Oryctolagus cuniculus: one gene and its partners. The protein of the gene in region 4 interacts with the protein of the main gene of each other region in a pairwise test. Links are inferred from orthologs where the notes say so. Each region holds a gene or a part of one and is shown on either strand. Other genes may lie near its edges.

The links.
Region 1: the proteins of RGS19 (region 4) and GNAI2 interact in a two-hybrid assay, tested with the Homo sapiens proteins (2 studies listed by BioGRID and IntAct). The link is inferred for Oryctolagus cuniculus from reciprocal best matches to the Homo sapiens genes RGS19 and GNAI2.
Region 2: the proteins of RGS19 (region 4) and GNAZ interact in a two-hybrid assay, tested with the Homo sapiens proteins (2 studies listed by BioGRID). The link is inferred for Oryctolagus cuniculus from reciprocal best matches to the Homo sapiens genes RGS19 and GNAZ.
Region 3: the proteins of RGS19 (region 4) and GNAO1 interact in a two-hybrid assay, tested with the Homo sapiens proteins (2 studies listed by BioGRID). The link is inferred for Oryctolagus cuniculus from reciprocal best matches to the Homo sapiens genes RGS19 and GNAO1.

What each region holds. Positions count from the first base shown.
Region 1 is NC_091441.1:99,081,954-99,087,819, forward strand, and holds the start of GNAI2 (guanine nucleotide-binding protein G(i) subunit alpha-2), read right to left. Parts: upstream 3,974-5,866; 5' UTR 3,758-3,973; coding exon 3,640-3,757; intron 1-3,639. UniProt on the Homo sapiens protein: Guanine nucleotide-binding proteins (G proteins) are involved as modulators or transducers in various transmembrane signaling systems.
Region 2 is NC_091452.1:31,634,064-31,638,355, reverse strand, and holds the start of GNAZ (guanine nucleotide-binding protein G(z) subunit alpha), read left to right. Parts: upstream 1-1,492; 5' UTR 1,493-1,712; intron 1,713-4,292. UniProt on the Homo sapiens protein: Guanine nucleotide-binding proteins (G proteins) are involved as modulators or transducers in various transmembrane signaling systems.
Region 3 is NC_091449.1:40,107,288-40,112,683, forward strand, and holds part of GNAO1 (guanine nucleotide-binding protein G(o) subunit alpha), read left to right. Parts: intron 1-1,620; coding exon 1,621-1,781; intron 1,782-5,396. UniProt on the Homo sapiens protein: Guanine nucleotide-binding proteins (G proteins) function as transducers downstream of G protein-coupled receptors (GPCRs) in numerous signaling cascades.
Region 4 is NC_091442.1:133,515-139,696, reverse strand, and holds the start of RGS19 (regulator of G-protein signaling 19), read right to left. Parts: upstream 3,859-6,182; 5' UTR 3,717-3,858; intron 3,698-3,716; exon of another isoform or gene 3,184-3,697; intron 1,731-3,183; 5' UTR 1,663-1,730; coding exon 1,633-1,662; intron 1,489-1,632; coding exon 1,367-1,488; intron 638-1,366; coding exon 563-637; intron 481-562; coding exon 246-480; intron 167-245; coding exon 1-166. Other genes in the region: protein LKAAEAR1, read right to left, coding at 4,655-5,459, 5,850-5,905, 5,982-6,104. UniProt on the Homo sapiens protein: Inhibits signal transduction by increasing the GTPase activity of G protein alpha subunits thereby driving them into their inactive GDP-bound form. Binds to G-alpha subfamily 1 members, with the order G(i)a3 > G(i)a1 > G(o)a >> G(z)a/G(i)a2.

The DNA of each region.
Region 1 (5,866 bases), on a different chromosome or scaffold from region 4:
TGGCCCAGGGAGGGTGGGCCTCCTCCCCCAGGCCAGGCAGCACTCATTCAAGGCCTTGGGAGTCCGTGTAGGCAAGGTCTTTCTGCCTCAGGTCCTTGCCGAGCTGGCTCCTCTGCGCACAGTGCCCAGCTTTGGCAAATGGCACTCATTTTTCAAGACCACTCAGAGGACCCCTCCTCCAGGAAGCCCCCTTCACAGGCACCAACAGAGTCTGCCAACTAGCCAGGATCCCTGGATATATTCAGCAGCTTCGTTCTTTCCACACACACTTAGTACGCACAGCCCTGTGCTACAGACTCAGCACAGCGGCCACGACTCCTCATGTGAACTTCACCTGGCAGGCCCTTTCTCCGTGCAGGCTCTGTGCTGGCCAGGCCCAGCAGCTCCGAGGGCAGGCCCAGTCCGCACCAGCAGGACCAGCCAGCTCAGGCTGTAGGGGAGCTACTGGAGGGTGAGAGACAGAGAGACAGCAGCTCCGAAGCAGTCGGCAAGCAGCCTGAATCGGAAGGAAAAACGCAGTCGCTCTCCCACACGGACAGCTGGGGTCCTCCCTATTGTGCGCCGTGCACTGGGCCAGGCTGAGGCTGGGCGGCACTTAGCTCTGCAGGGGACAGGGTTGACTCGGAAGGACCCATGGAGCGTGTGGTGGGCTAGGAGGAAGAACCTGAAGAGCTTTGCTCTCAGTGTCCCCTGGGCCCTTGCCACCTGCCCACACCACAGCATGCCGCACTGTGGCCCAGCGATTCCCATCTTACTCTTCCTCCAGTCTGTCCTCACACCAAGAGGACACTTTCTTCATGCAACAAACAGGTGAGAAGCACCCAACAGGTGCCAGGTGCACACTGGGCACAGGAATGAAGGGGACACAGCCCTACCCCCGCAGCCACGAGGGAGGCAACCAGGAGCCAGGGAGATGCCTGACCTGCCCTGGCGGGGAAAGGCTGCTGCGAGAGGCCCCGAGTAAGCTGCGGAGCTCACCAGACGCAAAGTCCCGGGCGCAGAAAGGGAACTGCTGCTCATTACTTCCACGTCTCCACACATTTGGCCACACACACGATCCCATCTTACAGCTGAGCCTCCCCCAGCAACTCTGACTTCCTTCCCCTTAAGCGCCAGTCCTCAAGCCCCAGATTCCATATGGGCCTTGCTGGTCAGTTGAGCTGAACTGGGTAGGGGTGGGGGGCGTCCCTGAAGCAGGAGTGGTAGCGGCTCCTCTGCGTCAAGCTGCCAGGAAAAACCCTCGTGCCAGTGTGTACTACATCTGCCCCTGCCCTGGTGACAGCGACTGTGCCCGCCTCCTGGCAGGGCTACCAGGGACGAGAGGGAGCCAGCGTGCGGGTGGGGCAGCAGGCGTGGTTCTGGCAGACAGAGAAGGCTGGCAGTTACCCAGCCTGAGGCCCGTTGCCTGGACAGAGTCTCCCGCTACGTGAGACAGGCGCCCAGAACTCAGAACCGGCCACAGCCGGGCTCCCACCGCCACCTTCTATCTGGAGGGGAAGGGACGGCTCAAGCCAGGACCCTTCCCCAGCAGCCACAGCAGACAGGGTCCTGCGGTCCAGGCAGAGCTTGGTTTCCCAGCCTCGTGCAGTTCACACTCTGCAGGGTCTCAGTCCCTAGCCCGCACAGCTACCAAACTCCCGCTCTCTCTGTCCTGCCTGAGGCAGCACTTGTTTGGCCCAAACCCAGGAAGCCCATTTTACAGAGGCAGCAAAGGCCAGAGAGGCCTAACACCGGGATGGACGCCTCAGGCCAGAAAGTGCTGAGCCAGACACTGCACTCTGGCTGCTATGGGCCCAGCGGGGGAGGGGCTGCCAGGTCCCACCTGGTCTGGCCCAAAAGCTTCGCTGGGCTCCCAGGGGCATGCCTGGTGGGACTGGGGGACACTTCGGAGTCGGGGCAAAGAACAGGCCAAGCATCCTGTGTCCCCTGACCCTGCGGCCCACTCCCCTGTCCCCTCAGCCACCAGAAGGGCCGTGATCAGCCTAGGGAGGGCTGGCCAGAGGCTCCTGGCTGGGCGCAGGGAGGCAGCGGGTACCGGAAGTGCCCTCCCAGGCCCGGCAGCGACGGGCATTCCGCCGCGTCGACACCCACTCACCGCCGCTGCACTCGCAGCAGACAGGAAGAGGCAAGCGCCCAACGCAAGGCAGCCCAGGAGGCTGGGCCGCCGCCCCTTCCCTCCCCTTCTCTTCCTCCCCGCGGAACGGATGCCATTTTGAAACCTCCGGGGCTGTGCCCCTGAGGCCGGGCCCGCAGGGACAGTCAACAGATGGGCCCATAATAGAGCTACATGCTTTTCCTGGGCCACAGGCCCAGCGTGAAAAGCCCCGCTTTTCACAGCCTGGAGGCTCCCGGGCCGCTCCGAGGCAGAGGGACCACACCCCCACACACGTACTATCCAGCCTGTACCGCTGTTCGGAGGGCCTGCCCCCACCCGAAACCCCCCCAAACCAGGCTTCCACTGGGCACCACCCCTGCTCCCAGCAGGAGGCTGGCCAGGGACCACCAGCAGACCCAAAATCTTTGCAAAAGGCCAGCTCAGATGCCTGGGGGCACCCTGACCCATCACAGCTGGCCCCCCAACCCCTCGCTCAGCTCCACCACCCCCCTCACACAGCCCCAAGATCCGACAGGCCCACCCCCTCGCGGAGCCCACAGCCCAGGCCCCATCAGCGGATCTCCCTGGCGCCTGCAGGGGCAGCAACATGTCGGCTGTCTCACCACTTCCACTTCCCCCACCACCCCAGCAGCCACCATCTTCCCTGGCCTTGGAAGCAGCCACAACCCCGGCCTCCTCCACATGCCCTCCCACTTCACATACTTCCCTCTCGGCAGCCCAGCCAGGCCTTGGAGACGGGAAAACAAATTCCCAAGGAGCGGAGTCTCCCTGGAAAGTTGAGCCTGGCCCCCTCCCCCAGCGGGACCAGTGGAGCCTCAGCCCAGCCCCTTTGGAGGATTTGCCTAAACGTCCCCTCCCCCCGGGGCGGGGGGTCTTCTCAGAGCCAGGCCCACCTGGTGCAGGAGGAGTGGAGGATCAGGGGGCAGCACTTAGGGGAGGAAGGGCACAGGTGTGGCGAGGGAGGCCTGCAGAGATGGGTCTCTAGAGGTTCTGGCTGGAGAGACAGGGCTCCGGAGCAGCCAGCTCCCACCCTGACGGTCGGGGTGCACAGGTGCAGGGCACAGGTTCAGAGGGTGGGTGGGACACAGAATGGGGCAGGGAGCTGGTGGGGCCCTGGGGATGCTCCTGCCCAACAGGAATCCGGGGAACAGGTAGGGGAAACAGGTGAAGCCCAAGGGTGGAGGCAGAGTGGGGTGCCGGGGTCTGGGTAGCAGCTAACGGAGGATGGAAAGGCTATGTGAGGCTGGTCAGTCGGAAGAGACAATCAAGCAGGGGTCTGGGCAGCGATGTTGGGGCACTGCTGGCTTGGTTAGGGGTTGCTGAGTCTGGGGTGAGCTACCCAGGTCTCTGGGTAGGACCACAGGTCTAGATCAACCCAGAATCGCCCACCCTTATTTGCAGGTCTCGGCCAGGCTGCTAAGGGTTCAAGCCCAGATGGGATCCAGACTGGTGAGCCTGAAGCCTCTGTCTTGTCTCTGTCTTGTCTGGGAAGTCAAGGGTCCCAGCGCGGGGCGCGGCCTCACCCAACAACAGCAACTTCACCTCCCGCGCCGCCTTCTCGCCATCCTCCCGCAAGTTCTTGTCGATCATCTTTGAGCGCTCGGCCGCCGCCTTGTCCTCGGCGCTCACCGTGCAGCCCATCCCGCCGTCCGCCGGCCCGGCCGCCGCCCGGCCCCCACACGGCCCACGGCCCGGCTCGGCCCCGCCCGACCCACTCCGCTCCCGCCGCCGGCCCTCCGCGGGTTAGCTCTCGGGTCGGCAGTTCCGAGCGTCTGCGGGAGGCGCCTTCCCCGTGGCCGCGCACCGACGGCGGGGCGGGCCAGGGGTGGGGCCCCGGTGAGCGGAGCCCGGGACTGGGCCGGGGCGGGCCTGGGGGGCGGCACCGTAAGAGACTCGGGGCTGGCGATTGGCTCGAGGGAGGAGCGAGAGGCAAAGTGAGGCGCAGCCCCGGCTGCGGCCGGCTGGAGGCGGGGCCACGCGGAGGGACCGCGATAGCGGTGGAGCCCAACGGGGAGACCGGGCACTGGGCGGGCTGCAGGCGGGGCCGGGCTCCCATTGGGTACCGGGCGCCCGGAGTCGGCGGCGGGCGGGTAGAGTACCCTGAGGGTGGGGAGCCGGTGCCCCGAGGGCCGAGCACGAGCCCGCCCTCTACAAGTAGGGCGAGAGGGGAGGAGGCGTGTCTTCCTCACTTGTTAGTTAATGTACCCAATAAACTCGTTTAGGGATCTGCAGAACCCGAGAGCCTTTCTGGACTGCGGTTTTGGTGTTTTTTTTTTTTTTTTTTTTTTCTTTTCAATCTTAAGCGGGTTTCCTCCCTTTCTTTCTCTGGGTAGTAACAAAATCAAAAACAAAAATAAGTCGATTGCCACCTCCACACCTTGACCTGAGCTGTCTTTCTGAGACATCAGAGTTCACGCACACTTCCCTGATCTGCTGGGAGACGGTGTCCTGCAGCAGCCACCCAAGACTGCAGCCTGGGCCGAGCAACCGGGCCACGAAGGAAAGAGGGAGGGAGGGAGGGAGGGAGAGAGAGAGAGAAAGAGAGAGAAAAAGAGAGAGAGAGATGAGAGAGACGTTACCACCGGGCTTCTGGAAACAAAAGTGACTGTGGTCTTGTATCTTATGACCTGTTCCTTCCACGGTCAGTACCACCTCCCATGTCCCCTCTGGCTGGGCAAAGCTGGGGCGCCGGCAGCACTGTTTTCAGCTGAATCTTTCAAGTCTTTCCAATCCTGCTTTCTGGGGGAACCCACAGCCCCAACCTCAGGTGAACGTGGGAAGTGTTGCAGCGTCCTGAGTGGTCCTAGTGCTGTGAGCCTGGGAGAGCCCGGCCCAGAGGCAGGGAAGATCTCTGATGCCAGGCAGGGTGCCTGTGTGGCCACCCACACCCACACCCCCGTCCCCTCCTCTCTAGCGGGCTCCCAGTTCTGAGTCTGTCCGCTCTCCCGGGAGTTGTCTGTGTGTCTCCCTCTGAATGTCTCCCTTGTTGTCAAGTCCCTGGCCTGTAAGTCTCCCAGTGTTCCCCCGCCGCTCCCTCCTGCCTGGAGCTCAAGCTGGCCCGGCGCAGGCAACAAACATGATAAAGACACATGATGCCCTCCAGGGGCAAACACAGAAATATGCCCTCTACATCAGCACCTAGACCCAGCCCCCAGCATGCCTCAAATTCACAGAGCACATTATAAAAATGACTGTACACAACCAAGAACACAAGTCTATCCACACAGACTACAAACGGCTCTAAGGCAGGCCCCTCCCCCGCCAGCCCCGCCCCTCGAGCGATCCTGGCAGCTCAGGCCTCCTAGGCTGCTCCTAGCAACAGCCAACAGCTCTCTCGGTTGCCAGGCAACAGGGAGAACCTGTCAGCCCCTCGGAGGCCCAGCTCTGGGGAGGTGGGCAGGACGCAGACCCCAATTTATGGAGGTGGGTTAGGACGGGGCCCCTGGGAGGCACAGCCCTCTCCAGCCACAGCCCAAGGTTCTGTGGCTCTCAGGCAGCGCCATTCCCAGAGTCAGGCACTTTTTTTCAGTCCTGTGCTCTTCCCATAAGTCCAGTGACCCCTACTTCCATGCCGCAGGCTGCTCCTTCATGTGGGTCCCCAAGGTTGTGGCCAAGCTTCTGCGAGCCACTCCAGGGGCTCAGAGCGCTAAATGCCTGATGACTCTGACTGCCAGCCCCACGGCCACCACTGTTCTGATCTCCCGGGGAACTCAAACCCACACCGTCCAGAACAGGGCACATCCCACTCCT
Region 2 (4,292 bases), on a different chromosome or scaffold from region 4:
AACAGTCCCCTCTTACTCTCAGGTGAGGAAGGCCGCGGGAGACCCCCTGCCAGAGTGGTCCTCCCACTGTGGCATCTGGGTTTGCCCCCTGCAAACAGCCCAGCTCGGACCCCATATCCAGCTGTGGGAACTTCCAGTGCCCACCTCTGAACATGTGCAGATGATTACTTCCTGCACAGCTGCCCCTCAGAAGGAGGAAGCCCCTCCAATGCCGGGCAAATTCCTTTGGCCACCTCCAGTGGGCCCTGCGCCAGCTCTAAGTCCCACTCAGTGGTGCCCAGAACCAATATCTATCCCATTCCTGACTGTGCAAGAGCACCTGCCCGGGGGCGGGGGGGCAAATGGTGTCTCCATGCCACAGCAGCCGGCTGGCACAGCCAGAGACCTGTGCCCCTGCTTTTCAGACCACACACCTGGGCTGGGGCCACAGCCCGCCTTGACCCCTGCCCATGATCAGTTGCAGAGCACAATGAGAGGGGCGATGGGGTGATCTGACCACATAAAGCGATAAGGAAAGAGCTGACCAGGAGTGTGCGTTTCACAGGGAGGCTGCGGGGATGCATAAAGCTTCAGGTTACCATGATGGAAAGACAGCAGCATTCCTAGCTGGGGCACTCTGGCCTGACCCTTTTAAGCACGGAAGTGGAGGGGTCCTGGCCCTGGGGCCCACAGATAGGCTCCTCCTGAAACCGAAAGGAGAATTTCACAGCCTGTCAGGTGCATTTGAGGGTCCCAAACACACCTACGGGGGATGGGGGAGGGGGTGTGCTGGTGTTACAGGAGCTGACTCCTTTCTTTTCCTCGGGTTGGGGGGCCCAGCTCCTAGACCCTTCCGCCTCCCATACCTCGCAATGCAACCTTGCCTCGGGCCAGGATGGCCAGGTGTCCCCAAGACACGCGCTGGGAGCAATCACCGCAGAGATGACGAATGTCCTCTCCCATTGCTGCACAGACCTCACCGCTGCACGCCTTTGGGATTTCCATAGGCCCTTCACACGACCCAGCGGACTGCAGCGACAAACCAGGGAAGCAGGTGTCGCCAGCCTCACTCTGCAAAACAGCAAGGCTGAGAGAGAGGTCAGTCGGGTGCCCAAGGTCGCGGAGCTCAGAAGGGGCTAGGCTGGTTTCGAACCCTGGCCGGGAGAAGGAGCCCGGGGTCGTCCACAGTGGAGGGGACCGGGGCCACCGCCGAGGGTGGTGTGTAGCCCCGGCCACAGCGCCACGCAGTCGGGGAGTCGCCAGAGCGGGCAGCGCGTGCGGGACTGCGGCGCGCGCCAAGCCATAGCCCCGCCCCTGCCCGTCGCCATTGGGCTGCTTGAGCGTCCGTCAGCCGCCCGCGCCCAATGGACAGCCAGCCGGCGCCCGTGGTGGGGCTGTGGCGCCCGGCGCGTGGTGCCCAGCGGGCGCGCGGCACCCCCCGCCCGCGGTTGGCCTGGCAACGAGCTGCGCTCGCGGCTCCGCCCCCTGCCGGCGGCGGCGCGGCGCGGCGCGGGGCGGGCGGACCCGCGGGCGGGTGGCGGGCGGCGCGGGAGGGCGGGCGGAGGGAGCTAGGCCGGCCGGAGCGTGTGCGCCGCCCGCGGTCCGGTCACGTCCCCGCGCGGGTGCCGCCGCCCCGCGTCGTGCGGAACGAGGGAGCCTCTGCCCAGCGATTGCCGCGCCGCCCCGCCCCGCCCGGGAGCAGGTCGGCAGATGCACGGTGCCGCGGCCCTGAGGTGAGTGAGCGGATCCGCAGCCCGGGGCTCGAGGCTGAATCTGGGGTGTCGGGGGCGCGGCCCGGGCGTCCACCCCACCCCCACCTGGGCCTTTGTGCTCGGGATCCGCCCGGGCGCAGCGTCGAAGATGCCCGGCCGGGGTTGGGGGTGGCGGGAGCGGGGGTGCCTGGTGTGTGAGGCAGGGGGCGGCTGCGACGCCGGCAGGTGCTGGGGGAGCGAGGTGCGCTGGGCCGAGGAGAGCGGCTGCGGGCCGGGGGTGGATGGGCCGGGGGCACCGGTCTCTCCTGAGCAACCAGTGGTGCGGAGCCTGGGCCGGGCGGCTTGCGGGAGCGGTGCCGAGGCGGGGTCTCCCTCGGGGGATGCTGGGCGGCGGAGGAGGGAGGGGAAGGAGGCGACCCCGGGTGGTCGAGGCGCCGACGCGTGGCCTTGGCTGAAACCTAGCAGAAGAGCCAGGGAAAGGGAGGCCTGGGCCCGGGACTGACGACTCGCCGTTCTCGGTCATTGCTCTGGGAGCAAGCAGGTTCCTCTGAGCCATGCAAGCGAGACGTGAGTATCGACCTGCTGCGATTAGAATACGTTCCTGGCTCAATATTATTATTATTTTTTTTACCTTAAAAGGCGGTGAGGTGTTTGGGGGAGGGTTGTTGAGGCCTCCTGCCCGGGCCTCGGTATCCTGCGGCGATCTGGGTGGGGAGGGAGGGGGCCTCTGCCTTTAGTGCGGTGCTGAGCCTTTCTGGGTGATGGTGGCGGAAATCCGCCTAGGCCGAGGATTGGGGCTCCCTGTTACACGGAGAGAAAGGATGAGAAGGCGGTGCCAGGCGAGACCAGGGTTCCCTGGAGCCCGCATCTCTGGGTGGGGAGACCTGCCTGGTGGGTCTGTCTACACTGGGGAGACGGCCCCTGACCTGCTTCCTTCTGCCCTGCCCTAGGGGATCTCATCTCTCTACCCTGGCCCTGTCTGGAAGAAGCTCCTTGGCGAAATTCAATTAAGCAAATATTTACTGAGCGCAGGCTCCCCCAGGGCCTGGCGCTGGGGTGGACGGGGTGGGAGTGCAGTCGGCCTGCCCTCCCTCCCCAGGGACTGACTCCCACAGGGGAGAGACAGACGTCTGTGCTCTGATAACCCAGCCCTGATTGCCGGTGCCCAGGCCTCAGAGAGGTGCCCGGGGCTTGGGTCAGACCGGCCTGTGGGCAATGTGACATTTGAACTGGAGCTTGAAGGACATGAGCACAGCTGGGGTGGGCTCTGTGGGCCAGGGGGATGGGGGCACAGAGGGTGCCTGGCAGTTGGGTTTAGTGGGCGCCTGGTGTGTAATCAGGAAGGAGGAGGAGGGGTGTGGCAGGGAAGGCGGGTGGGGGCTGCACAGCCCGGGAGGGGCCGTCCTGTGGGTGCTAGGGAAGTGGAGCAGCCCCAGTACTTATTTGCAGTGTGGCTGCAGACGGCAGGTTCCTTGCCTATGAAAGGGGTGCAGTTCTGTGACCCTGTGAACTGGGGTAGGCTCGGGAAAGAGCTTTAAAGATAGGAGAGAGCCCCCTTGCAGCCCGGGACTCCTCCTCCCAGGCACTTTATGTCTTGGGCAGGGCCGGGGCTCTGGGTGACCAACCGCCCAGCTCTGTTCTTCACGGGGATGGAGCTGCCTGCTTTAGAAGGGGTGATGCTTAGCTGGTGACTGTGCCTTTGGGCTGTGGCTGTCTGAAAGCAGCAGCCATGGCGGCCAGGGAGAGTCCGTCTAGGGGGTGGGGGTGCACAGGGCCTGGCCATGCCTGGATGGAGCAGTGAGCCTCCTTCTACGGGGACCGTGAGACACTGGCATTTGGTCTAAACTCATCCCGTGTGTTCCTGACAGACGTTGCCTTTGTGAGACAGAAGCTGAATGGGACGTGGTTCCTCCCCCTTGGGAAGCTGCTGTCCCCTCCTGCCCTGGATCTGCCCCCTCGCTCCTTGGGGGTGCTTCCACCCACCCTCTAAAGTGCTGTTTGCCCCTTGTCTTTGTAACATGCCTGCCCCCAGACACACACACACATGCGCGTGTACACACACACACACACACACACACACACAGGCATTGGGCTGAGGCCCAGGTTGCTGCAGCGAGAGCAGGGCCAGTGTGCGCTCGCCAGGTGTCCAGTCTGTACTGAGCAGGATGAAGCTGCTTCACTGTGTGCCCCTCCCTCTGGCCTGTTCCAGGGAGCCTGCCGTGGACTCCAGGGTTGGGACAGCAAATGGATACCTTCGTCTGTCTCCAGCCTCTCGGCCTTTCTGTTTCCTGGAGCCGGGGGGCAAAGTGCCTTGGTCTGGATCTCAGGAGCTTCTGGGTGATTCCAGGAGCATCGTGGTATCTGGACATATTTGGCCAGGCTACCCAGGGCTTGGGGGGATGAAGCATCCCCCTGAATGCCAGGGAAGGGCTGGTCTTGGATTCAGGGTGTGGCCTCAGCCTCGCCGCTTGGTTGTCTTTTGTGTGAGCATGGATGACGGTGTGTGCAGCCCTGTGCTGTCCCATGCTGGCCTCAGAAGACCAAAGACTCTGGGTGGCTGTAAAGGTGTCCCCGCTGCTGTTGACCATGGATGGCTCCCAG
Region 3 (5,396 bases), on a different chromosome or scaffold from region 4:
CTCCCTAGTGAGGAAGCGGAATGTGGGGCTGGCGCTGTGGCACAGCCAGGAAGGCTACCGCCTGTGAGGCCGGCGTCCCATGTGGGCTGCTCCACTTCCCACCCAGCTCCCTGCTAATGGCCTGGGAAAAGCAGTGGAAGATGGCCCAAGAGCTTGGGCTCCTTGCCACCCACGTGGGAGACCCGGAAGAAGGTCCTGGCTGTTGTGGCCATCTGGGGAGTGAACCAGTAGATGGACGATATCTCTCTCTGTCTCTCCCTCCCTCCCTCCCCCTCTCCCTTTAACTCTTTCAAATTTAAAAAAGGAAGCAGAATGTTTGTGCCCAGAAGCCCTTTTTGAACCGTGAAGTGCCGTGTGTGTGTGCAAGTGCCAGAGATGGCAGCTGTGTGACTTCCCCCAGAGCCTTGTGAGTCTCCAGCAGGTTTACTTACAGCCGCTGAAAACATGAGGGGAAGGGAGAAGAAGCCCGTGGATTATGCAGAGCCTTTCCTGCAGGCCCAGTGCTGTCCTTGCCTGCACAGTGTACCTAAAGCAGTTCTGCTACAGCCCCTCCCAGAGGGTGGGCCACAGGTCACAGAGGAGTCAGTAGGAATTCATCCAGTCGTTTTATTATGTACACACATACACACACACACACATACACACTCACACACACATGTGGTATGGCTTTGGTGCAAAGTGCATCCTGGTACCTTGTAGAGCTCTATTGTTATTATTTTAAAAGGCAGAGTAACAGAGGCACAGAGAAGGAGAAAGATCTTCCATCCACTGACTCACTCCTTAAATGCCCACAACAGCCAGAGCTGAGCTAGGGTGGAGTCAGGAACCAGGAACTCAGTCTGGGTCTCCCACATAAGCGGTAGGGGTCCAAATACTTCAATCATCGTCTCCCCCCTCCCAGGGTGCACATTAGCAGGAGGCTGGCGGGGAAGCACAGGCAGGACCCCAACCCCCGGCACTCCCATGAGAAATGCAACTGTCTCAGCTTAACCTGCTGCATTGAAGCTGCACCAGACACCAGCCCCTTGAGGTTTGAAGGTGACCTGAGGGCTTTTCACCAGGTGTGCTGGCTTGACCGCTGAGCCCTCTGCCCCGCCCACCCTGAGGTCCCGGGCTACTGTGACCCTCAGTTAACTTTAGCTCTCAAATAACCAGAAACCTCCTCTTTCCCCCAGTGTAGCCCAGTTCTGGGGCTTTTGCGCCACCTTGGGTAAGAAGTGTAGGAAATTGTAACTCTAGCCAAGGATATTGATTTTTAATTTTTCCCCCAAGCAAAAGTAGCGTGCAGAGACCCAGTTACGAGAGTAGGCGAGAGCTGAGCGATGGTGGTTGAGAGGGTGGAGACACAAGCCCGCCGGCCTCCCTTTCCGCTCACGCACACCCTCGGACTCCAAGGGCAGTGGTCTGGGCCCCCTGCGCCAGGGCTTCCACACGGAGGAGGCTCCACAAGGCCCTCGGAGACCAGAGCTCCTGCCTCTCCTGGGTAGCCTGCTGCTGTGCTGGTGGGGGCCTTGTCATAAACCCAGCCCCCGCCCCGTCCCAGCCAGGTGGGGCCCTTGGCTGGCCAGGGGTTTCCTGTCACCGCCAAGGCCTCCAAACCATCTCCGTGTCCCCTCCCAGGCCGACGCCAAGATGGTGTGTGACGTGGTGAGCCGGATGGAAGACACCGAGCCCTTCTCTGCAGAACTGCTGTCCGCCATGATGCGACTCTGGGGTGACTCAGGGATCCAGGAGTGCTTCAACCGGTCTCGGGAGTATCAGCTCAATGACTCTGCCAAATAGTGAGTGTCCCGGTCAGGGACTGCCAGGGCAGGGTGGGGTGCGAGGGGCCAGGGGCTGCCCAGGCGGGGAGGGGTGCGTGGGGCCGAGGTCACAGCATAGTGAGTGTCCTGGGCCAGGGGCTGCCCAGGCAGGGAGGGGTGCAACGGGCCGAGGTCAGAGCATAGTGAGTGTCCCGGGCCAGCGGCTGCCCAGGCGGGGAGAGATGCGTGGGGCCGAGGTCACAGCATAGTGAGTGTCCCAGGCCAGGGGCTGCCCAGGCAGGGAGGGGTGCGAGGGGCCGAGGTCACAGCACAGTGAGTGTCCCGGGCCAGGGGCTGCCCAGGCGGGGAGGGGTGCATGGGGCTGAGGTCAGAGCTGAGGCAGAACCTGCTGTGAGGGATTCTTCCACTGGTGCTGGTGGCAGGAGGCGTGAGAGGGGCCTCTCTTCTGCCCCCAGGACAAGGAAGAGGCCAGGGAAAGCGGGGACAGGGACACGTAGACCTGAGAGTGCCTGGCAGCCCTGGAGGAAGGTTCTCGGTGCCGCAGCTTTGGTTTGGTTGGTTGGTTTTCTTTCCTCAAGAGCCCCTGACTCCAGAAGCACAGGGCAAGAGAGCCATGTGGGCAGAAAATTCTTTAAATGCTGCCATTCTGTATTTTAGAGATAATGGTAAACTTTCCATTTCTCTATGTTTAAAATGTAAAATGATGAAGAGTAGAGAAGTGGGAAAAGCCAGGGTGGTCAGAAAGGGGGCCAGCAGAGAATGTGCTGCAGGCCTCCACAGGGGACCGTGGGGTCACCTGTGTGCCCCTGACCGTTTGTCCCTTAGCATCTTCAATGGTGCCCTCACTGGACACCTGCCCTTGGCTCCCAGGCCGAGGCTGTGAAGCCCTGGGAAGGTGGGCGTGGGCCGGGGGCATCTTCTGCTCTGAAGATCAGGGCCTATACCTGGGCTTTCCAGAAACACATCCCGCTTGGACAGTGTGGTCCCCAGGGGCCCCGGCCTAACCCGCTCCGAGGACAGACACAGTCTCCCCAGCCCCACCCGTGTCTCTCTCAGTCCAGGGGACACTCAGCAATGGCAGGGGACACTTTTAAATGCCACGACTAGGCTAGTGCCCCCGGCAGGCAGTGGCTAAAGGCCAGGGATGCTACTCAGCACCGTACAGTACCCAGGACAAACCTCACAGCAAAGCATTATCCAGGCCAAAACACCAGCCGCATGGGGATCAGGAGACCCTGATCCGCACAGTGCCAGCGTGGCAGAGCCCAGGGCCAGCGAGACAGACTTGCTGATGGACACGTGCCTGCTTCCAGTGGCCACGATGGCAGCCAACAAACCTGGACTTGAAGCAGGCCAAGAGCTTCCTATTCTGCACACCTGGTTGTCCACAAGGCAGAGGCCTAAGTGGGTCCTGGGAGCCTCAGCTGGTGGCCACCCAGGGTCCCAGGTACTGAGGAGCCCCAGGGACGCCCTGGGAGCAGGAGAGAGCCCAGAGCCTTCCTGCCCACGGGCCCCTGCACGCTTCCTTCACAAGCCCAAGCCAGGCTGAGAGGATGATCTCTGGCTGGCTCTCTGAAGGGGACCCCCGGAGGACAGCAGGGCTGGCAGCTCCTTCCCTCCTACTGCCAGGCCCAAGTCCCAGACCTCCTCCCCAGCTGCCAGCGGGAGCCTCCAGGTCTCCCAGGGGCAGCTGGCCTGAGTTTGTCTCCCGGTGATTCATCAAATGGTGTTCTCCACTTACATTTTGACCTATTTCATTAATCATCAAATGAATCCATTGCAAAAAAAAATTTTTTAAACAATAGCGAGGTGTATAAAATGAAAAGTGGTCTCCTGCCCCTCTAGGTCTCGTCCCTCCACCGCAGAGCGGTTTCCACTGCCGCGTCCCAGTGGTGTCCAGACAGAGTGGGCCTCCAGCTGTGCAGTGTTTCCAGACTCCCACCGTGAAGCCGGGGGGTCAGCTCCCCTCCCTCCCACCCCTCTCCACTACTACCTCCAGTTCTTTGCTGGTTGCAGGATTATTTTTTTTTTAACTTTTATTTAATGAATATAAATTTCCAAAGTACGACTCATGGGTTACAATGGCTTCCCCCCCCATACCGTCCCTCCCACCCACAACCCTCCCCTTTCTTACTCCCTCTCCCCTTCCATTCACATCAAGATTCATTTTCGATTATCTTAATATATAGAAGATCAGCTTAGTATACCTTAAGTAAGGATTTCAACAGCTTGCTCCCACACAGAAACATAAAGTGAAAAATAATAGATGATTTTTTTTAAATGATGATGAAATCAGATCAGACCTATTGTCATGTTTAATCCCAGTGAGAGTCAAGTTGGGAATTGATAATTTTTTTTTTTACAGAAGATCAGTTTAGTGTACATTAAGTAAAGATTTCAATCGTTTGCACCCCCATAGAAACACAAAGTGAAATATACTGTTTGAGTACTCGTTATAGCATTAAGCCTCAGTGTACAGCACATTAAGGACAGAGATCCTACATGAGGAGTAAGTGCACAGTGACTCCTGGTTGCAGGATTATTTTTAGTCCTGCTGGTCACCATTATAACTTTCAGTAAGGCTCTTGAGTTGGTATTTGTCAACTCTGTCCCCACTAAGCTGAGGAAATTCACCCGCCTTCCCTCTCGGCTCAGCATCCTGCCAAGTGCTGCCCTGCCAAGGTTTCACAGTTCTCTCCTGCCTTCCACGGTTTGGTCATCCATGTTCCACCTCCAGGAGAGAGGTCCATGGCAGGGAAGACAGGGGTACCCGACAGTCAGAGTCAGGAGTATCTTTTTTTTTTTTTTTTTAAGATTTATTGATTTATTTGAAATGTTCAATGAGAGAGTGAAAAAGAATGCCAGAGAGGGAGCAGTACCTTCCACCCACCGCTTCATGCCCCAGTTGGCCACAACAGCCAGGGCTGGGCTGAGCTGAAGCCAGGAGCCTGGAACTCCATGTGAGTGGCAGGGGCCTAAGCACTTGGGCCATCGTCCGCTGTTTTCCCAGGTGCGTCAGCAGGGATCTGGATCAGAAGTGGAGTAGCAGGGACCCAAACTGCCACTCCCATGTGGGATGCTGGCAGCCCAGCCCACTGCACCACGGTGCCAGCCCTGTCAAATGTATCTTAAATGCGGTCTGGTCCAGGGCTGCATTGTGGTAACTATTTTAGCAGTTTAGCCTCATCTCGGACCCAGTACATAAAACAGGTAAAAACAGATGTGTATGGGTTGGGGTAGAAAGGAGGCAGGCCCGGCAGTGCAGTCACACTGCACACTTACAGGGGGCGCTGTGTGCATCCTACAGCCCCCCAGTCACCATGGCTGCAGCCCTGTCCTTTACAGGTGAGGACCCAGGACTCAGAGGGAAAAGGGACAATGCCTGGCGTGGCCAGGCTCTCACTTGTGCTCAAGTGTGCCTCAAGCCTCAGTGAACGGGGCTGGCTCTGCCACTCTGGGCAGATCCCACCAGGGGCCACGCAAGTGAGTTCCCTGGCTTGGTGAGCTTCGGTTTTCCTGAACCAGCTCCCCGCTGCATTGTCTGTGCAGGCAGTCCACGTTTCCTCCCCTCATGCGCTCTCCTGTGCCCCTGTGGGCAGCCTCTTACTCCCGGTCCTGTGGAGACACCCAGCC
Region 4 (6,182 bases):
CTCCCCGGAGCAGCAGGGCACGGTAGGTGGGGGAGCTGAGGAAGCGGGGGTAGGAGTCCCGGTGCATCAGCGTGTAGATCTGCAGCTGCGCGTCGTCGAACGTGTGTGCGGACGGCTCCTGCATCTTCCTGTTGATGCCTTCCCGCACCCGGGAATCCAGGCTGACCTGCCAGACAGGGCAGCACGGTCAGGGGCCCAGGCGGTGCCTCCCGACCCCTGCCCAGCACCGGCCGCCCCCGCCCCACCTCCTTCGGGGACAGGATGGACACGTAGTCCTCGTAGATGAGCCGCGCCTTCTCGTCCACCACGTGCTGGTTGGCCTCGGCCTTGAGCTCCTCGCAGGCCAGCCAGAAGAGCATGTTCTCCTCGCTGTACTCCGTGCGCAGGAAGGCCCGGAACACGCTGCGGCCCGCAGGGCTGTGCATCAGCTTGTCAAAGGACTGCGCCCAGCTCTCCACCTCCTCGGGGCTCGGCGTGGCACTGCAGGCACGGGGCCAGCCACTTCAGCCCAGGGCCTCTGGCCTGAGCCCCCCCCGCCCCCCCCGCAGGCCACTGGACTCACCACGTCTCGCAGCTGGGCAGGGGCTGCAGCTTGCTCTCCCGGGAGGCCTGCCACGCTCGCCGCCGCTGCTGGTTCCTGAGCAGACACAGGGGCTGCACTGCCCTGGGCACGTGGGGCCCCCACGCCGCCCACCAGCCCGGGGCTCACAGGAGAACAGCCTCCTGTAGGCTCCTTCCCATGCAGGCCGGAGCGCCCAGGCCGCAGCCTTGGTCCTCGTCCTCCTCAGCAGTGTGACCGTGTGCCTCTTCCTGGGCTCCCTCCCCTCACTGGGGGTATGACCTGGCTGATGCAGGGGTCCCTGCACCCCTCCCACCACCCACCATGTCCTGCTTGGACTGTCAGGCCCTGGCTGCTCGTGGGTCAGCTGACTACACGTGAGGTCCCCATGTCCTGTCCCTTCAGTAACCGAGGCCCTGACACCTCTGCAAAGACTACAATGTCCAGCAGCTGCCCTGCACTCTGGTCACCCCTGGAGCCCCACTGCGGCCTCATGCACACACTGACCCTGCTGCCTGGGCAGGTCTTCCCCGTGCCCAGGGCCAGCTGCTCCCTCCTTGGGGTCTCTCTGTTCCACCCACTCTAGGGCTGTGCCCGTCTCGCTCCACTGAAGGTCCCCAGGATGACCAGGCACCCAGGGAGGGGTGAAGGCGCACGCAGCAGGCCTGGCCCTGCACAGGGACCAGCCCTGGCGCTGCGGCAAGTCTGGGACCAGGCCCTGAATACGGACGCCAGGGCCACGTCAGGTGGCCAGACCTCTGCACCTCCCTTCCCGCCCGGGCCCAGCCTGGTCCCAGGCGCGCGTACCAGGAGCAGCTGCAGCAGCAGCACCAGCACAGGCAGCAGGGGTTGCGGCTGGGGGCCGCCGTGGGGGCCGCATCACGGCTGGACATCGAAGGCGGCCGGTCTGCCTCCTCTGGCCCTGCGTGCTGGGGACACAGGGCTTCCTCAGCCTCAAGGTGGAACCCCCCAAACCTGGACTTGTGCCTTCTGCCCACCCCAGGTATTCAGGGATACCTTGACCCCTCATTACCCCCTCCCCAGGGGGCCGGGACAGACAGGGAGCAGCATACCTGCTTGTCAGCCTCATGCGCGGTGGGCATGGGTGGGTAAAGCAGGCGGCCCAGGCTCCGAGATGCCAGCTCCAAGGCCCTCACCACAGCCGGGGGGTCTGGGAAGAGGGGCCAAGGTTCTGACCGAGAACCTGTGACCCCAGACCCTAGCTGTCCTGCGGGAGTGGCCTGCAGCACACCTCCTTCCCTGCTCTGCCCTCTGCCCCAGCCTCCGGCCCCTCCTCCCAGGCTGGCCCCCAGAGGAGGCCCCCAGAGGAGGTTCTGGGACACCCCCGTCGGCTCAGCGCCTGGGAGCCGGAAGCCTGGGTTCCTCTTTCTTGGTTTCCGGCTCTGGGCCCCTCCCGAGGGGACTGTGCGTCGTTGGAGGTGGTGACATGAGCTGCTCCTTCCCTCTCTGTGGCAAGGCCCGAAGCCTGAGGCAGGACAGGAAGCTGGAGGAGGGATCTGGGCCCCGGGTCGGGCGTCTCTGGCCCGCAGCTGCCCTGACCCTCACACCCCACTGGCACACTGAGGTCCCCACCCTCTGGGCCCAGCACCTGCAGGCTCAGAAGCCACTGCCGGCCGCCAGCCTCAGGGCCAGCCAGGGAGACCACCCCGCCCCCAGTCGGCCTGGAGACCCTGTGGGGGTGTGCCTTTCCACTTCTGGGATGCACCTCTGTGGGGAGGGGCACTAGGTGCCAAAGCCAGCCACAAACCCGGCGCATCCCCTCACTGCGCAGCTGTGTCCAGGTGAGGGCCCTCAGGCCTCTCCCGAGGGTCTGTGGCCAGGAGGCTTGGGACTTGGTTCTATTTTATTTTCTAATTTTCTCACTCCCAAGCCTGGCCTCTGCATCCTCAACCCCACTGGCCTTGGCTCTCAGCACCCAGGAAAGGACAAGGCCCACGGGCCACCGACTCCAGTCCCTGGGCCAAGGCCTCTCGACACCTGCTGGGCTTCCTCTCCCAGGAGGGTCCCAAAGCCAAGTGTGTTGGGGGGAACCAAGTGCCCTGTGGGAGTCACGTTTCCAAAGAAGGGGCACGGCAGCCAGGGCCCTTGCCCCAGGCAGGAACCCCAGCCTGGGGCTGTCGGGGGTGCTGGGCCCTCCTCCAGCCCTGCCCCTCTCTCAGGCAGTAGGGTCTGGACCCACGCTCCCTCCTCCCCACCCCCGGGGCCTGGAAGGGGAGAGCAGGAGCCACTCCGGCCCCTGGGGACAGGGCTCCCTCGGGAGCGGCGGCAGCTCTGCTCCACACAAGGAAGAAGAACGGCCCTGAGCCCGCCCAGTCCAAAAAAAGAACAAGAAAATGTGACAATCTCAGAAAAATGTCACAATCTTTGGGAGGGGGCTGGCAGGGACTCCTTCCAACTTTTGCTCCCGCCCAGGACCTCTCCGACCCGCTGCCCTAGCCAGGGGCTGGGGGGCGGCGCCCCGGTCTGGCCAGGCTCCCCCAACCCTGGAATCCCTCCCTCCCCTGTCCCCGCCCCGGGGCCAGGCAGGAGGCGTGCGGACCCCTCCCCGCAGACTCCGCAGCCCCCACCCCCATCTCAAGAAGCCCGTCCTGGGCCCCACTCACCAGCAACCCAAAGGCGGGGTGGGGGCGGGAGGGGCCGGTTCGCCCTGGCCCCTCCCTGGCTGTCGAAGGGGCGTGCACGGCACGGCAGCAGCCGCAGCGCCCAGGCCGGGCAGCGGGAGGTCCTCCCGCGGCGTCCCGAGCCCCGGCCCGCGAGGGCCTCCGGTCCGCCTCGCAGCGCGGAGCGGCTGCCGGCCGACCCGACGGGGTGGGGGCGGGGGCGCACAGGGAGTCCCGCCCCGGCCGCTCCCCGCCAAGCTAGCGGGGCGGGAGCCGCGGAAACCTGGGTCCTTCCGGCCCCCGCCTTTAAGCAACCTCTCCCCGGGCTCCGAGCTCACAAAAAGGGAACCCGCCGCAGCGCCCCTCCCCCAGGCGCGGGGCGGGCTGCAGTGCCGCCGCGGCCCGGGGTCCACGTGGACCCGCGACCGCGGCCCCCGAGGGGCAGGTCCCGGCGCAGGCCGTGGCGGCCACGCCGCGCACCGCCGGGCCGGCCGCGAGGCCAGGGCCGCCGTCCCCGGCGCCGCGCGCGCACTCACCGGCCGCGCTCCCGAGCCGCCAGCGCCGCCGCCGCCCGCGCGCTCCGAGGTCCGGCCCCGGCGTCGGGGAGGGGGCGCGGGCGCAGTGCGCAGGCGCGCGACGGACTTCCCCAAAGCGCGGGCCGGGACTTCCTCGCGCCGTCCGCCCCGCCCCGCGCTCGCCCGGCCCGGCGCCCCCCGCGCTTGGCCGCGGTGGCCCCGGGAGATGGCGCTGTGGTGTGCGGGGCCATGGCTTCGCAGCCCCTGTGGGCCACTGGCTGCGGTCCCGCATGCGGCCCGGACTGCTCGCATGGGTGGGGGTCCGGAGCTCGTCCCTGGGCCGTGGCGCTGCTGGGCAGCAGGGGCGCCGGTTCTCGCACCCCGAGGCGCGCCGAAGGGCCCATGGGGCCTGGCTGAGTCCCCGTTGACCCCTGCGGTGGCCCCGAGTGTCCCCTTAGCCCAGTCCCTTTGACTGGCACAGGTGCTTTGGCTGATTGTCAGCATGAGCCGCATCCGCCCTGGCCGTGGTCTGCAGGTCTGCTGCCCACTGGGCCGCTCCGGCTGCCCCTGTCTCCCTCAGCACTGCCTGCTCTGCTCCGGAGGCCAGCGTCCTCTCCCGGGGCACAGGTGGGGACACCTGGGCTGTGTTCAGGGGCCCTGGCGGCTCTGTGGGGCTGGCTGGGCAGGCAGAGGCCAGGAGGCCCTGTTTGGACAGGGGTGGCTGCCTCTTCTGTAGCCCACGTAGTTGTCCTGAGAGGGACAGGGGAGGACAGGGAGGCCCTGGCCACAGCCACACTGTCCTGCAGCACTTGGGGTGTATCTCCATGGCAGGGAAATGCAGGTGTGTGGCCCGGTGGGGGGCTGGCACACTCCCTCCCTCTTGTCCTCTGCTCCCCTCCCCCCGCACCTGCATCCATCTCCCCAGGCCACTGCTGGTCAGCACAGACCTTCCCCTGGCCTCATGGGAGGGGCTGGGGATGGTGGAATTGGGCCTGAACCCCCACCCCGCACAGGGCCACAGCACTGTGCAGGTGGGAGCCCCCTCCAGAGGCTTCCTTGGTCACCTTCTCTGGCCCCCTCCCTAGTGGGGACTTAAGGGTGCTCGTGTGCCCACCTGGCCCCTCCGGGCAGCCGCCTCGGCCACTGTCTTGCCAGCCTTCCCCCGGGGTTGGGCTCCGTGCCTGCCTGCGCCCATGACCTCTCCCCAGAGCACTGTGGGGTGGCGTGGGGCTCTGCACTGAGACCCTCACTTTAAACAGGAAGCAATGGAAGCTCCGAGAAGTGATGGGATAACAAGTGATTTTATTAAATAGACGAACGTGTCCCAGGCACTCCGTAACCTGAAGGAATTCTGGTCCAGACTGCAGGGAGCTTGGCCAAGGAGCCAGGACCTTCTGGAGCCACCGACTGCCAGGGGCTGAGCAGCTGCCCCCCCCCCCCCGCCCTCTCCCCTCCTCTGGGAGCTCCGCACACTGTCCAGGCTCGAATGAAGGCCGAGGGCAGCAAGCAGCCGGGAAGGGATGAAGGGTCCGGTGCAGGGCACAGAGGGCCCAGGTCCCCACACGGGCAGGGGAGGGGCCCTGGCCACCGCCGGGCAGGATTCCTTGCTGCGTCCCAGCTCCCAGTTGGCCTCTACTTCCAGATCCGTGCTCTGCTCCAGGCAGAGCAAGTGGGAGCCCTTGGCAGGGAGAAGGGTCTGGGGGCTCCTGCAGCTGTCCCCGCCTGCCCCTCCGCGGGAAGGAGGGGCGGGGCCGAGAGCCGGCTCTGGGGAGGAAGGCAGGGCTGCTTAGAGACCCGGCTCCTTGCCCAGCCGTGCTGTTCGCCGAGTGGGGTGTGGGGAGGACGTCCAGGGGACTCCCCTTCCCTGGTGTCTGCCCCCTGCCCACAATACCTGGGGCTGCCTGCTGCGAAGATGGCCCTCGGCCCTGGGCTCTGGGAAGCTAGAACGCCTGTGGGGCCCGCGCGCCCTGCGGCTCGGACCCGCGGCTGCATCTCCTTCCTGTGCTGCGTGCGCCCTTCGCCGTGTACCCTAGGGCCCGTGGGAGGCGGCGTCCACGCCGCCCCCTTCCCCCCGGGGGTCCCGGGAGCACAGCCGACAGACCAGGGCGCCTTGGGGAAGAACTTTATGTGCAGAGGCGCGCAAGGAGGGCTCACCGCGGGAAGACGACGCCGTCGGCCTTGTCCTCCAGGATAGATTCCACGCGCCTCCGCTACGGGGACAGGGGCTGCGGTCGCGTGCGTGGGCGGGCGGGGCCCCTCTCCGCCCCCTCCCGGGCTTGCCCATACCTCTTGCCGGTTCAGCGGGTCGGGGATCCGCGTCGGCTTCAGCTGCGGCGGCAGGAACGCCTCGAGCCGCACGGCGGCGCGCGCACACCTCTGGCGCCGGAGGAGCAGCGAGATCTCCTCGGTCTGCCGGCCGCAGGGGCGCTGAGTGGGGTCTCCAGGAAGAGCGCCCAGCGCCCCGGGCTGTCCCCTCCCCGCGCCACA